Rattus norvegicus: one gene and its partner. The protein of the gene in region 1 purifies or fractionates together with the protein of each later gene. This does not show direct contact. Links are inferred from orthologs where the notes say so. Each region holds a gene or a part of one and is shown in the gene's direction. Other genes may lie near its edges.

Region 1 (6,522 bases):
TAAAATGTTTTACGAAAAATGAAAAGGCTTTAAAAATAAATACAAGTGGGCCGGTTGGTGGTAGCACAGGTCTGTAACCCCATCACCTGAGAGGCAGAGGCAGGTTTGAGTTGGAGGCCAGCCTGGTCTACAGAGTGAGTTCAGGACAGCCAGGGCTACACAGAGAAACCCTGCCTCAAAAACAAACGAACAGAAAATGGAAGTGTACACATGTTCCATTCCCTTTTCGAGAGCATGAGAAAGACCAGTGTACTGGGTCTCTGACAGCCTGGCCTCCATGCCCTGGCATTGCTATTCTGCCCAAATCACTTCCTGCAGATTAAGATGTGACTTTAAGTGACAATGTTTCTTGGTGAATTTGTTCAGAAACTGGGCACTTTTTCTTTAGGGTACAATAAATGATTGGTTCTCAATTTGGGGGTTTGGGGTTTGGTTTGGGTTTGGTTTGTTTTTTGTGGTAGGGGGGTCATCTTTTACTTTGCCCAATCAGACACGCTCAGCGAGAGAGACATTCTTAATGACTTCTTTAAAAAAACTCATCAAAGAAAGCATGATTGATGGCTTATTCCATGCCTAGCAATGAAGCCTGGGTTCAGTAAATCAGAAATAGATTTTTTTGTAATGCAATAAAAAGGACCCATGAGCTGAACAAAGAGAGGGCATCTAAAGCCACTGTGATGGAATAAAGGCCCTTGGTTTGGAGGGCTGTGGACCATAGCCTAGTACCTCAGTGCCTCTGGATAGAGGATAATTTGGTCCTACAATAACATTTTTTTTAGGACTGGGAAGGCAGGACCTGCATCTGGTGGGTAGGGGCCACAGAGGCCTCTACAAACTTGCTGTGCACAGGACAGTCACCACCTGTCCAGCCCCAAGTATCCTTAGAGCTGAGGCCAAGAAGCCCAGCTCTGTGCCAATATTTGAATCTAATCAGGCATGGTGGCAGACACCCGTACTCCCAGCACGTGGGAGAAGAAGGCAGGAGAAGATGCACTCTGGCTATTCAGTGAGGTGAAGGCCAGCCTGGAGCACAGGTTAGACTAACTCAATGAAGTCATTGGTCTGCATATTCACAGCCAGCCATAGTGATAAGACTTGTAAATCTAGTACTGGGGAGACAGAGGCAGGAGGATTGCCTCGTGTTTAAAACTACAGTTTAGGGCTGGAGAGATGGCTCAGTGGTTAAGAGCACTGACTGCTCTTCCTGAAGTCCTGAGTTCAATTCCCAGCAACCACATGGTGGCTCACAACCATCTGTAAAGAGATCCGATGCCCTCTTCTGGTGTATCTGAAGATAGCCACAGTGTACTTATATAGAATAAATGAATAAATCTTAAAAAAAAAAAAAAAAAACACTACAGTTTAAACTGTATACATGGGTTGGGGATTTAGCTCAGTGGTAGAGCGCTTGCCTAGCAAACACAAGGCCCTGGGTTCGGTCCCCAGCTCCGAAAAAAAGAAAGAGAAAAAAAATAAATCTTAAACTGTATACATAAACTGTGTATAGTAAGTTCCAGGCCAGCCAGGTCTGCAGAATGACACCCTGTCCCCCAAACTATGAGAAAGCCTGGCCCTTTGATTCTCTTAAAGTTTGGGGGTCTTAAACATTGTGGCTTCTGCAGTGTACACGGACTGCAGAGAACATTCATCTAGCAAGCATAAGTAAGACCCAGGTTCAATCCCCAGCATCACAGAAAGCAACCAGACTTAAAACAAGAGCTACCGAGGGGCCCTCTAACTCCTCTCATTTTGCACATAGGGAAAAAAAGAAGTATTTGAAAATCGAGTGGTTTAATGGCCTCTGATATTTGCAACAGGGTTTCAAGTTAGAGCTGGGTGCTAACTGGCTTTGAGACAAGAGCTTTGTCCTTGGTACTAAGCCTCTCGGCCTTTTGCTCTGGTTAGGCCAGTGAAGGAAGTCTTATTGGCACAGTTTGTGGTTGGGGTATCTGAGCTTTGCTTTCTGTGGCACACACCCAGTGCTTGCTTGTGTGAGCCCTGTGCTGTTTCATGTATCCCATGTTTTGCCACCAAGTAACTAACAACCCTAATTTCCTTTTCAGGACTGTAGATGTCATGTCGCTCCCTTTCTTCCTCAGGTGTTCAGCTCCCGACAGGCACTGAATGGCCACGCCCGCATCCATGGCGGCACCAACCAGGTGGCTAAGACCCGAGGTGCTGTCCCCTCTGGGAAGCAGAAGCCAGGTGGCACCCAGAGTGGGTATTGCTCAGTGAAGAGTTCACCATCTCACAGTACCACCAGTGGAGAGACCGACCCCACCACCATCTTCCCCTGCAAGGAGTGTGGCAAGTAAGTACACTTGAACTGGGTATCAAACCCAAGGTCAAAGTGAATGATGGTTCTGTGGGGGCTGTTTTCTTCAGCTGACTTTCAGGACTCCCCTTGATACTACCCGGGAGGTCTGCAGATAGATCTTTTCACTCCCTCTATCCATTCCTCTGCCCACAGCAGACATTACTAATCAATTACCGCATTCTCTAACATCACATCACATTAAAATGCAGCATCCTATCCTTCACATCATAATGATGCATGGTGGCACATCTAGTTGATTGAAGCCCAGGCATTGAGATAAAACCTGCTTTTCATCCTTGTCCCTTTAGATATACCTTAAAACAGCACCTAAGGGAAGAAGCTAACAGTAGGTGAGAAGAGCAATAGCTTTTACTCCACCACATACTTCATGTGTGTGACTTCACTCAATCCTCACAGGGAAAAACTCCATCCAACGCAAGTTGCCTTCATTCTTAGTTTACAAATAAAGATTTTAAGGTCAGGTAAAATGGCTTTTCCCAAGTCACACTTGCCAGGAAAGCAAAGCTGAGATTTAAACCTCGCTATGTCCAGATGCAGCGCCTGGCCTCTCCACGCTGCTCCAGCTTTCTGCCTGGTTTTGATTAGCTACATTGCAAAGAGCCTAACTAGTGTTAAAATACATGGCTCCTTCACAGCTTCCTTCCCCGTCAGTCCGCCTAGCCCCAAGGCCATAGCAATCTCACACACTTCACCTTCATCGTTTGCGATTAAAGATGAGTGCTAAGGGCTGAACCACACCACAACTCAAAAGAGGTTTCTTTGGGGTTGGGGGTTTAGCTCAGTGGTAGAGCGTTTGCCTAGCAAGAGCAAGGCCCTGGGTTCGGGCCCCAGCTCCAAAAAAAAGAAAAGAAAAGGAAAAAAAGAGGGTTTTTTTTTCCAGTGAATCTCAGGGCTCACGGTGTGATCAAACACCCTACAACAGAGATGGGTAGCTGTTCTTTGCTACTCTGTGGGTTCTTCTTTTTCCTGCTCCTATCCCCTCCCCCTTCATCTTCTATCACTAAATCGGAGAGAAAGGAAGGTAGAGAAGAGAAAGAGAGAAAGATCCCTGAATCTAATTTCTTTCTTGTTATTTCTTCTTTGAACATGACTAACATACCACAAGCTACCCCCCTGCTGAGTGACCAACAACCCCCAACCCCATCTCTGGGAGCCCTGGCATTTATACCTTCTGAAAGTTCAGAAACAATGTCAGAAACTGTCTGCAGCTGGCAAAACCACCCCTCTGCCAGAGCAGGAGACAAATCACAGGCAGCAGCCGCAGACAGTCCCAGGCAGCCCCACAGCCCCACCCTGGGATTAAAACGAAAACATATCCTTATAATATTTTTGTGTTTAAAAAAAATTCTAGAATTCTCACTACAGACATGGCTTAGCAGTTGGGAACATCGGTTGCTCTTACAGAGGACCTGGGCTTGCTTCTAGCACCCACATGGTAACGAACAACCGTCTGTGATTCCAGTGCCGGGAGATCTGACGCTGTCTTCTAGCTTCCACAGATGCTGCTCAGAATTACATGCAGGCAGGCTCCCGCTCATATAAAAAATAACAACCAAATAAAAAGAACAACTGTGATAGTAAAATAGTAATAATAATGTATCAGGCAACTTCATGGCATTCAGCAGGGTCCTCCCTGCCTTTGCCTGAGACGGTTTTAAATGGTGTCTTATACTCTCCATTCATTTACTCTTTAGAATAGCCCTGTGAGGGGGTGACGAGACAGCTCAGCACACAGTACCTGCCACTTGCCGACAAGTCCAGATCCCACCTGGGAGATTCGTGACTTCAGAAAGTTGTCCCCTGACTTCCACGTATACAGACATCATGGGAGTGTGTACGCCCATGTGCACACATGCTGATGTGCACACACAATTACAGAAACTGAGGCAGAGGGAAGTTAGGCCTGCAGCTAGGCTGACCTGCGGATGAGCCTCTTATTTAGCCTTCAAAACACTCAGGCTGGCCTGGCCTCTTATGATTCAGCCACTGGGCTGCATTGCCCCTCACACTTAGAGAGAAGAGTGACCTGCAGGCACCCTACTCTGACAAGGAAGCAGCCGAGGCTCAGCTGTCACCCCCTGTTGTCCTGGAAACATCAAGGCCTTGCCAGGCTCCTCTGAAAAGGAAGCAAGAGCCTTCTCTGTAGGAGCGGGATTCTCTGTAGTCCACCAGGTGGAGACGAAGGCCTCCTCAGGCAAAATCTCCACAGGCTGACGGTCCCAAATCTTAAAATCCAAAACTTGGCGAGCAAGCACTTGACACTGCAGATGAAAAGTTCTACACTGGGAAACTTTGTTCTGCTCAGAAAATGAGTGAAAGCCACTCAGTGCTGAGGCAGTGTGCACACCTGTGTCTCCCACACACGTCTGGGGGCTGATGGGAAAGGGTCACAAGTTCAAAGGCAGCCTGGGCTATCTAATGAGAGCCTGTCTCAGATGACACATGAATGGGTGAATAGATGGACGGACGGACGGATGGACGGACGGATGGACATGGGGACTGACGGGAAATGATCACAAGTTCAAAGGCAACTTGAGCTATCTTGCAAGAGCCTGTCTCAGATGATGGATGGGTGTCTCAGATAGTGGATGGATGGATGGACGGACAGATGTAATTGAATTATTTATTCTAGCTAGCTTGTATAAAAGCCATAACAACCTGATATTTTATTTACAAGCCTAGATTGAGTAGGTTCTGTGCCATTCTCACCTGTACCCGAACCGTACGTCCCTGTTAACTTGCTCTTTGAGTCTCACCCGAGCTGCTCCTGCCCCCTCAGCCTGTCCTCAGGGTATACTTTTCCTGGCCAGGGGCTCATGAGCCATCTGATCTCCTGGCAGCCACCTTTTCTCTCCGACCTCTCTCTCCTCCTCTGTCCACAGTGGTCACTACCTGCAGCCCCTAGCCTGGTAACTGATTACCTCTATTCTATACCGCCCACCAGTAACTGTCAGCCACTTCTATTTAACCAGTCAGAGAAGATTGGTGAGCAAACTTTACACAACATGGGAAGTGCTTGTCTGGACTGCAACCAGATCCTGGGAGCCAGTATTTAGCATTCGAATACCAGACCAACCCCCAGCAGATACATACATACATACATACATACATACATACATACATACATACATACATACATACAATGGAAACAGGAGAACCCAGAGTTTAGGGGCATCCTTGGCTATATGGAGTTGAAGGCTAGCCTGAGCTACAAGAGAGCCTGTCTTAAAAGTGGGGGTAAAGCAGTGAGCCTCATGCTTAGCCTTGGGTCCCGTCTGCAGGAAGTTTCACTGTGTGTACAGATCTATAGCGTCTGATCGCTGTGGACCAGAGGGCACTTGCCTCAGGTTTCATGTTCCCGGCTGTCCTTCAAAAGCACACAGCAGGGTTGGGGATTTAGCTCAGTGGTAGAGTGCTTGCCTAGCAAGCGCAAGGCCCTGGGTTCGGTCCCCAGCTCTGGAAGAAAAAAAAAAAAGAAAAAGAAAAAAAGAAAAAGCACACAGCAAGCATTTTTCTCGTCCCTGTACTCGAGATCTTTTCTTTCTTTTGGCTTTATTTGTTATTAGTGTACATATGTGCCCACGTACATGGCAGGACACACATGGGAGGCCAGGGGACAGCTCTGTAGGGTCAGTTCTCTCCATCTATCTGTGGGCCCTGGGGCGCGGGGAAGAACTGAAGGTGGCCAGGCTTTCTCTGCAGACGCTCTCCCCAGCCCTCACCTGCCCCTCCCCAGGTCATTCCCTAGCAAAGTCCAAGCAAGACTTTTATGAAAACTAGACATGTTTCCTGAGGTTTTCCAGAGAGGAACAGCACTGAACAAGTCCACGACAGCCTCTTTCGGCTGCTCAATCCTCTTCATTTCCCACATGTCCAGATAGAAGCCAGCCTCAGGCTGTAGGGCTCAGGCTGGGTCGCTGGACTGGTTGGAGAGTGACTAAATTGTATTTATGCTATTCTTTCTCCATAAACCCGGGTTCGTATCTGGGCTGACTTTCCTGAAAATGGCCGAGATAGCAAATAGGTAGAATGTGCAGGCCATGCTCTCTCTCACCACCTCACTTTCCCATCACATCCCAAAAACAGTAGGGGGAAAAAAACTCAACAAACAGACATAGTTGTGTGCCAGTGCCTAGAATAATAAGGGGGCCGGACCCTTGATCTAAAGACTCTGGCATCCTTCG
Region 2 (7,209 bases), on another chromosome or scaffold:
ATATACATAACAAGTGATGAGGTCCCCTGGGAGGCTGGAAAAATGGAGAGGTAGCCTCTGGGTTAAAGGTCAAAGAGAGACCAGAAGGGCTTTGGAAGGATTCAGTTGCAGTCAAAACAACAGAGGGTGAACCAGACCAGCAGTTCTTGCTGGGTTCACACTGGGATTCTGAGGGAGAGGACCAGAGATGAGAAAAATGAACAGTCCACAGCTGGGGCTTGGGGGTGTGAGGGGCCGAGGGCTGATGACTCAAGCCAGCAAGTTGATTATCCTCACAGTTCTTTACACAGCCTCGGATGGAGCAGCAGAATACGAATCAGCAAGGTTACAGGGAAATCAGCAGGACTGCAGGGAGCTCTAGCTTCTTTTTTGCAAGGTGTATTCTGGTACGGTAAGCAAGCATTCCATACCTCAGGGTCTGGAACAGTTAACCACAGCTTACATGGAAACCTGGTCTCAGCCCCCCAGAGCCCTGGCACCAGTCCACTGCTGGCTTTGCCAAGAATGACCCTGACAGGGAACAAAAAGCTCTGTGTTCCTTGTTCCGTCCACAGGATCTAGAAGGGCCTCTAGACAGAGGGAAGAACTGGATGGACAACCTGAGAAGAAAATAGCCGAGCTAAGGATATAACTTAAGCACGATTCCTGTCCATCTCTGGGAACTGTCACAACCCATGGGAAAGCAGCATCAGAGTGTCTCAGCATCGATACAAGAGCACAAAAAGTTTGCAGCTTGGTCCCCATAAGACCACACATGCCACTCTTAGACAAAATGAAGGGCAGTCATCAAACTCAGAGAGGACAGCTGCTGTGACTCTTTCACATGTCTCCTTTGTCTCCTTTTCCCCTGTTTCTTCTTATTTGCATAGCGTGTGTCCTCGGTTGGCTTTGATGTCTAATGGTGTCCACTGACACTGCCGAGCCCAATAAGGTTAGGGGCAGAGTATAGGTAGAAACAAAATAACAAAAAAATCTTCATAGATCCAAAACCAGGCATGGTAGGGTTTACTTGTGATTCCAGGCTCTGGGAGGCAGAGAAAGGCAGGTAAATTACAAAACCGGCTTGAGCCAAAGTTCAAGGCCAGCCTAGAGCTACAGAGTAGGCTCTTGCCCAGGGTGTGGGAGGTGGGGAGCCACCATCATTTAAAGCAAGGAAGTGCCCTTGTTAAAAGGTGGGTGTTGGGGCTAGAAAGATGGCTCAGAACTCAGGGAGCCTGTGTTGTTCTTGTAGAAGACCAGGGTTCAGTTCCCAGCACCCACACGGAAGTTTACAATTATCCATAACTCTATTTCCAAAGGATCCAATACCCTCTTCTGACCTCTGCGGACACCAGGCACATACATGATGTATGTACGTAGATACATATGTACATAATACGCACACACTAGCAAAACACTTGTACACATAAACCTTTTAAAAAGTGGATGTTGGAACATGGAAAAAACTGGTATTGTTATTATCTAATACGGACTTTATGTACAGTACTTTAACCCACACAATAATATTTCAAAGGAAAACGTCCTTAAGTGGAGGCTGAAAATTACTATTGTATTAGAATAATCTAAGGAGTTGCTTGTACCGTAGTTTTAAGTGCTTTGTATAAAATAACCCAGCCCTAATATCAACCATGTGACTCTGGGGTCAATTCCCAGCACCACATAAACCAAACATGGTGCGGCATACTGTGGAGGTGAAGGCCGCTCCTTAGCTACACGGTGAATTTGAGTCCAGCCTGGAACATTTGAGACTGTGGAAGAATGATCGTGCAATGAGTGAGTACGCAGGAGAACAACGGTAGGTGATCCAGTCCCGCAGCCAATGTTCTTAGGCTTTGACTTTGAGACAGTATCTTGCTATGCTGCACAGAGTGAGCTTTCTACTACTTGTTCCTCAGTGTTGGGGTTATGTTATCACACCAGGCCCTATCCAGCATTTATGATCATATCACATCAGATTTGAATCTAGATCTTTCCTCACACAAAACTCGTACACGTTACGCTACCCGCTTATTGTAACCCGAGAAGAGTAACTTCATCACCCGTAAATGAATCCAATTCTTTCACGGACAGCTCACCTCTGAGACAATGCTAAGGGGGGCTCTGGAGAACGCCACAGTTGTTAAATCCTCTGTCCCCTACCTATCCCAGAATCAACCATCTAGAGGAGAGAAGGTCAGCTCTCCAGAACAGGACTAGTTTGCAAGCCCAAACCCAACCTTCATTCTGCTGCCTTCCGACACAAGCGGCAGCCCGCAAAGGCTAGTGATAGGGTGCTTAGGTGTTTGGGCATTTCGGGTGGCACCAGCAGCCCTTCTTTTGTTGGCTTTCCTGGTTCCTGAGTCGGACTATTCCAATTCGGGAGAGGCTGGGCCAAGTTTTCAGATGTTCCTGCGGTTTTCAAAGACTGAACTTCGGACTGCCCTCATCCGAAGTCCTATGCTCCCCAGCTGAATTGTATGCTCTGCTGCCCTCACACCCGCCCTCGTCCTTTGACTGAATGGACCCGAACACCCACACTCGGTCCCCAGCCGTTTTTCTCCCAGAGATCCGGAAGCCCCGACGTCGTGCCCTACACCAAAGATCGAGAAAACCACTCAGACGCGGCTCCTAGGCGGCAGTTCGGTTCCCATAGCAACCCTCGGAGCACCCGCATCCCGCTTCCGGCCGGGTGGCTCGGGCGCTCCCGTGACGTCACGGCGCCGCTTTCCGGTGACTGAGTCGAGCTGAGGTTGTTGTGGGCCGGGGGCGCCATGGGGGCGACTGGCGACACCGAGCAGCCGCGGGGCCCCGGCGGGGCGGAGCGAGGCGGCCTGGAGCTGGGCGACGCGGGCGCGGCGGGCCAGCCGGTTCTCACGGTGAGGGCGCCCGGGCGAGGCCGGGGCTCGGGCCGGGCAGGGCCTCGGGCTCCCGGGCCCCGGGCCCGCGGGCGAAAGAACGCGGCGGCTGTGCGGCTCTGGGGGTGCCGTTTTCTCCGTGTGACGACCCGGATTCAGAGTCTAGTTAGGTGACTTGGGCCTGATGTGACACCCTCTGGGCGCCAGGTTTCTCTTCTGTGAAATGAACAACATTAACCCGAGCTTGATGGAGTTGTGGTGGGATGGGCTGATAAAGGCGGGTAGAACGTCCTGACTCACCCGCCTCATAAGACCCTCGGTAAACGCTGCTGCTCTTCCAGAAAAAGCGAGATTTGGACATTGGTGACAGAAAACATTTTCCCAGTTCCTCCACCCTGACAGGGTCTTCCAGCCACTGAATTCCCCTTCACCCCAAGGTGGGAGAAGTGAGAAGCAGGAACGTCTAGGTTTCGCTCCATACTCACTTTCTCCTCATCCTCACTCTGAGAGGCCTCGGTGACATTTGCCCACTTGGTCCCCACAGAACCCTTGGAACATAATGATCAAACACCGGCAGGTGCAGCGAAGAGGCCGCCGATCTCAGATGACCACAAGGTAAGACCGATATCCGTTATGTGGACTTTGAGTGCTTTGAGACCCCCAACTGCAGGAATTTGAGATCAACAACACGTAGAAAGAGCACAGAAATCGGGGGAAGAGAGACTCCGGTGCTCTAACTTCCTGTAACCTTGACAGTTATTGCCCTAACTCCTCTACAAAGCAGAGAAGGAATAAAAAGTCGAGTACCATCTCAGCGATTGAGATCTGTAAGTCAGAGACTGTGAATTCAAGTTTCAGGCATCTGTTCTAATGCAGACTCTGATGTTTGTTAACTGGATACATTCGGGCAAGCCTTTAGCTTTTCTTAGATTCTGTTTTCTCAGCTTTGACAGGGGACTACTAGTGAGTGTCCGGTCTGGGGAAGGGGAAAAACTGCGTATGAGCCTTTGGAATTCTTGTATTTTTGACCTGGGGTAGCGATAATCATTTATTAATGATTTAATAATCATTTACTAATTACAGCGCTTGGCAGAGGCAGGTGGACCTCTGTGAGTTTAAGGCCAGCCTGATCTATATAGTGAGTTCTGAGACAGCCAGACTACATAGTGTGACTGTCTCAGAAAAAGGAAAAGAAAAAATATATGTGTATATGTTATAGTTCATAAAACACTTGGAAAAGGGTTGGGGATTTAGCTCAGCGGTAGAGCGCTTAAGGCCCTGGGTTCGGTCCCCAGCTCCGAAAAAAAGAAAAAAGAAAAGAAAAAAAAAAACACTTGGAAAATAATTTGCATTTCACAGAGTTACAATGAAATAAAAATTTAAAATCCCATGTCGCCAACTGGCTGAGTAATCTGGGAATGTATGTTTGGAACACTCCCCTGATTCTGTCTCCCCCACCCCCACCCCCAAATGCAGTTTCACAGATCCAGCCATCTCTATGGATCTCCTCCGTGCTGTCCTGCAGCCTAGCATCAATGAGGAGATCCAGAGTGTCTTCAACAAGTACATGAAGGTGAGGACATGGTGATTAAAGCCAACAGCACTGCTGAACAAGATCGTACAGCCAGGTGCTGCAGTGTGCCCAACCATGCAGGAGGCTGAGGCAGCTGACAGCCAGCCTGGGCAGCACAGTAAGACCCCTTGGACGAGGGAAAAACAGAATGGAGGCTGGAAAACACAGCCTCTGTGGTTAGGAGTGCTTGCTGCTCCTGCACAGGACTCAGTTGTAGTTCCCAGCACCCACATCAGGCCACTCCTAGCCACCTGTAACTCCAGGTCCAGGATCCAGTGCTCTCTTCTGGCCTCTGCAGATTATACCTGGAGTATAAATTCCACAGGTACATACACAAAAATTTTTTGAAAAATTTTTAGAAAAAGCCTGGTGGGGCTGAAGACATGGCTCAGAGGTTAAGAGCACTGACTGCTCTTCCAGAGGTCCTGAGTTCAATTCCCAGCAACCACATGGTGGCTCACAGCCATCTGTAATGAGATCCGATGCCCTCTTCCGGTGTGTCTGAAGACAGCGACAGTGTACTCATATATATAATAAATAATTTTTTTTAAAAATTCTTAGAAAAAGCCAGGCATGGTAGCACATACCTTTAATCCCAGCACCCAGGAGAAAGAAGCAAGCAAATCTTTGGAGTTTGAGGTCAGCCTGGTCTACATAGAAAGATCCTATCAGGAAAGAAAGAAGAGAAAAGAGGTGGGGAGATAGAGGGTACTTCCAAGCAGGATGGTCCTTCCTCCTGTCAACAGTCTCTGTTCACATGCATGCTACACAGAGGAAATAGGCTTCCATTCTGAATATACACCCCAATAACTTTTCCACTGCTTTTTTTGCCAAATGGTTTCATTTTAATGTATTCAACACCCTTGCTTAGACCATGAAAAGTCTAAAGCCATGAGTATAAAGCCATGAGTTTGATCCCAAACACTGGAAAAAATAGTAACTCATGATTAGCATATTGTCAGGCATGTCTGAGATGGTGACAGTGTATAAAACAAATAATGCCCTTGTTCACTTTAAACAGTGGTAGGGAATGAGGGAAAAGAAGAGGTGACCACTGGGCTACTCAAAAACAGAGCTAGGGTGCCTGTTCTTATTAGAGACACTTGTGCATTTTGAGGGGGATTGCTTGGTAATGCCAATTCACAGTATTGATTCTTCCAGTCCATGAGCTGGGGGGGTGGAGGGGGGTGTCATTCCATCCTGTAGGGTCTTCACCAATTTCCTTCTGTTTTTAAAGCTTTACTGGAAGATTTATTTTGTAATAATTGTGAATGGAATGATTTCTCTGAGTTCTTCCTCAGCCTCTTTGCTGGCAGTGTAGAGAAAGGCTGTAGGGTTTTGAATGTTGATTTTTTTTTTTTTAATTCTGCCTCTTTGTTGAAAGTGCTTGTCAATCCCATGGTTTTCTGGTGTGTAAAGTGCTTGTCAATCCCATGGTTTTCTGGTGTGTAAAGTGCTTGTCAATCCCATGGTTTTCTGGTGTGTAAAGTGCTTGTCAATCCCATGGTTTTCTGGAGTGTAAAGCCTCATCTGCAAGTAAGCTCCGCTGGCTGCTTTCTTCCTTGTTGTGTGCTTTGTTTTTGTCTCTCTTGTCTGGTTGCTGTAGCTGAGACTTTACTGTACTGAATGGGAGTGGAGAGTCTTGTTCCTGATTTCAGTTCTGAGTTTCCTGTAGTTAATAGGATGTTGGCTGTAGGTCTGTCATCTGTAGCCTTTGTTATGTTGGGATACATTCCATCTCTCGCAGGATTTTTATCACAAAATGATGTTTTATTTTGTCAGAAGCCTTTTCTGCATCTAGTAAGATGATCATTTGATTTCTGTCTTAAGTCTATTGCTTAATGAATTCCATTATTGATTAGCAAATGTGAATCATCCCTATGTCTCAGGATTAAAGCCTGCTTGCTCATGATATTTACCATGTTTTCTTGAAATCAGTTTGCAACTCTGTTGTTGAGAATTCTTCTTCTCTCTTCTTCAAGGAGCTTGGTTATAATTTTCTTTATTCTGTTTTGGTATCAGGATAATTCGGACTACATAAAAAGAAATAGCTGCAGATCATGTGAAGGCTTTGAGGCCATTTGGGTTTTTGTCTTCTGGATTGTTTAGGGGTTTTGTTGGGCTTTTGGGTTTGTTTTGGTTGTTTTTCCCCCTCCTTTGTTTTTATGTTTATGAGTGTTCTGCCTACATATGTAGGTATGTACTGTGTGTGCCTGGTATACACAGAGGTCAGAAAAGGGCAATGGATCCCCTAGAGCTAGAGTCTATGGGCAGTGTGAGCTACCATGTGGGTTCTGGGAACTGAACCTTGGTCTTCTGGAAGAGCAGCCAGTGCTCTTAACCCCTGAGCTATCTCTACAATCCCAACCATTTTTGGTTTGGTTTGGCTTTTAAAGTAGCTCAAAGAGGCTTAAAATCCACTACATGGCTCAGGATAGCCTCAAACCCTGATTCTCCTGCTTCTGTATGTAATGCTTTAAAGGAATGACTGGCTGTTTTTAGGGAGGGCTGGGAGTTAAGAGCACACACTGTGGATGAAGAATCCTCGTTTGGTTCTTGGCATTCAGGGCAGGTGGCTTGGCTTCCATCTGGCTCTAACTCCAGCTCTGGAAGCTTCAGCATCTCTGACTTCTGCAAGCACATTTGAACACATAAATATAATTAAAAATAATTTTATAAGCCAGGCATGGTGGCATGCACATAATCTTTAATCCCTTGGAATTCAAGATTCCAGCCCTTGGAAGGCAGAGGCAGGCAGATATGTGGGTAAGGTCAGCCTGGTCTACAGAGAAAGTTCTAGAT

What was found.
Region 2: the proteins of Trerf1 (region 1) and Dnttip1 purify together in Homo sapiens (affinity purification with mass spectrometry; 3 studies listed by BioGRID and IntAct, with this or other methods). This does not show direct contact. The link is inferred for Rattus norvegicus from reciprocal best matches to the Homo sapiens genes TRERF1 and DNTTIP1.

What each region holds. Positions count from the first base shown.
Region 1 is NC_086027.1:21,133,088-21,139,609, reverse strand, and holds part of Trerf1 (transcriptional-regulating factor 1), read left to right. Parts: intron 1-2,063; coding exon of another isoform or gene 2,064-2,099; coding exon 2,100-2,311; intron 2,312-6,522.
Region 2 is NC_086021.1:173,898,394-173,905,602, forward strand, and holds the start of Dnttip1 (deoxynucleotidyltransferase terminal-interacting protein 1), read left to right. Parts: upstream 1-2,697; 5' UTR 2,698-2,750; coding exon 2,751-2,855; intron 2,856-2,922; exon of another isoform or gene 2,923-3,004; intron 3,005-3,378; coding exon 3,379-3,449; intron 3,450-4,310; coding exon 4,311-4,407; intron 4,408-7,209. UniProt on the Homo sapiens protein: Increases DNTT terminal deoxynucleotidyltransferase activity (in vitro). Also acts as a transcriptional regulator, binding to the consensus sequence 5'-GNTGCATG-3' following an AT-tract.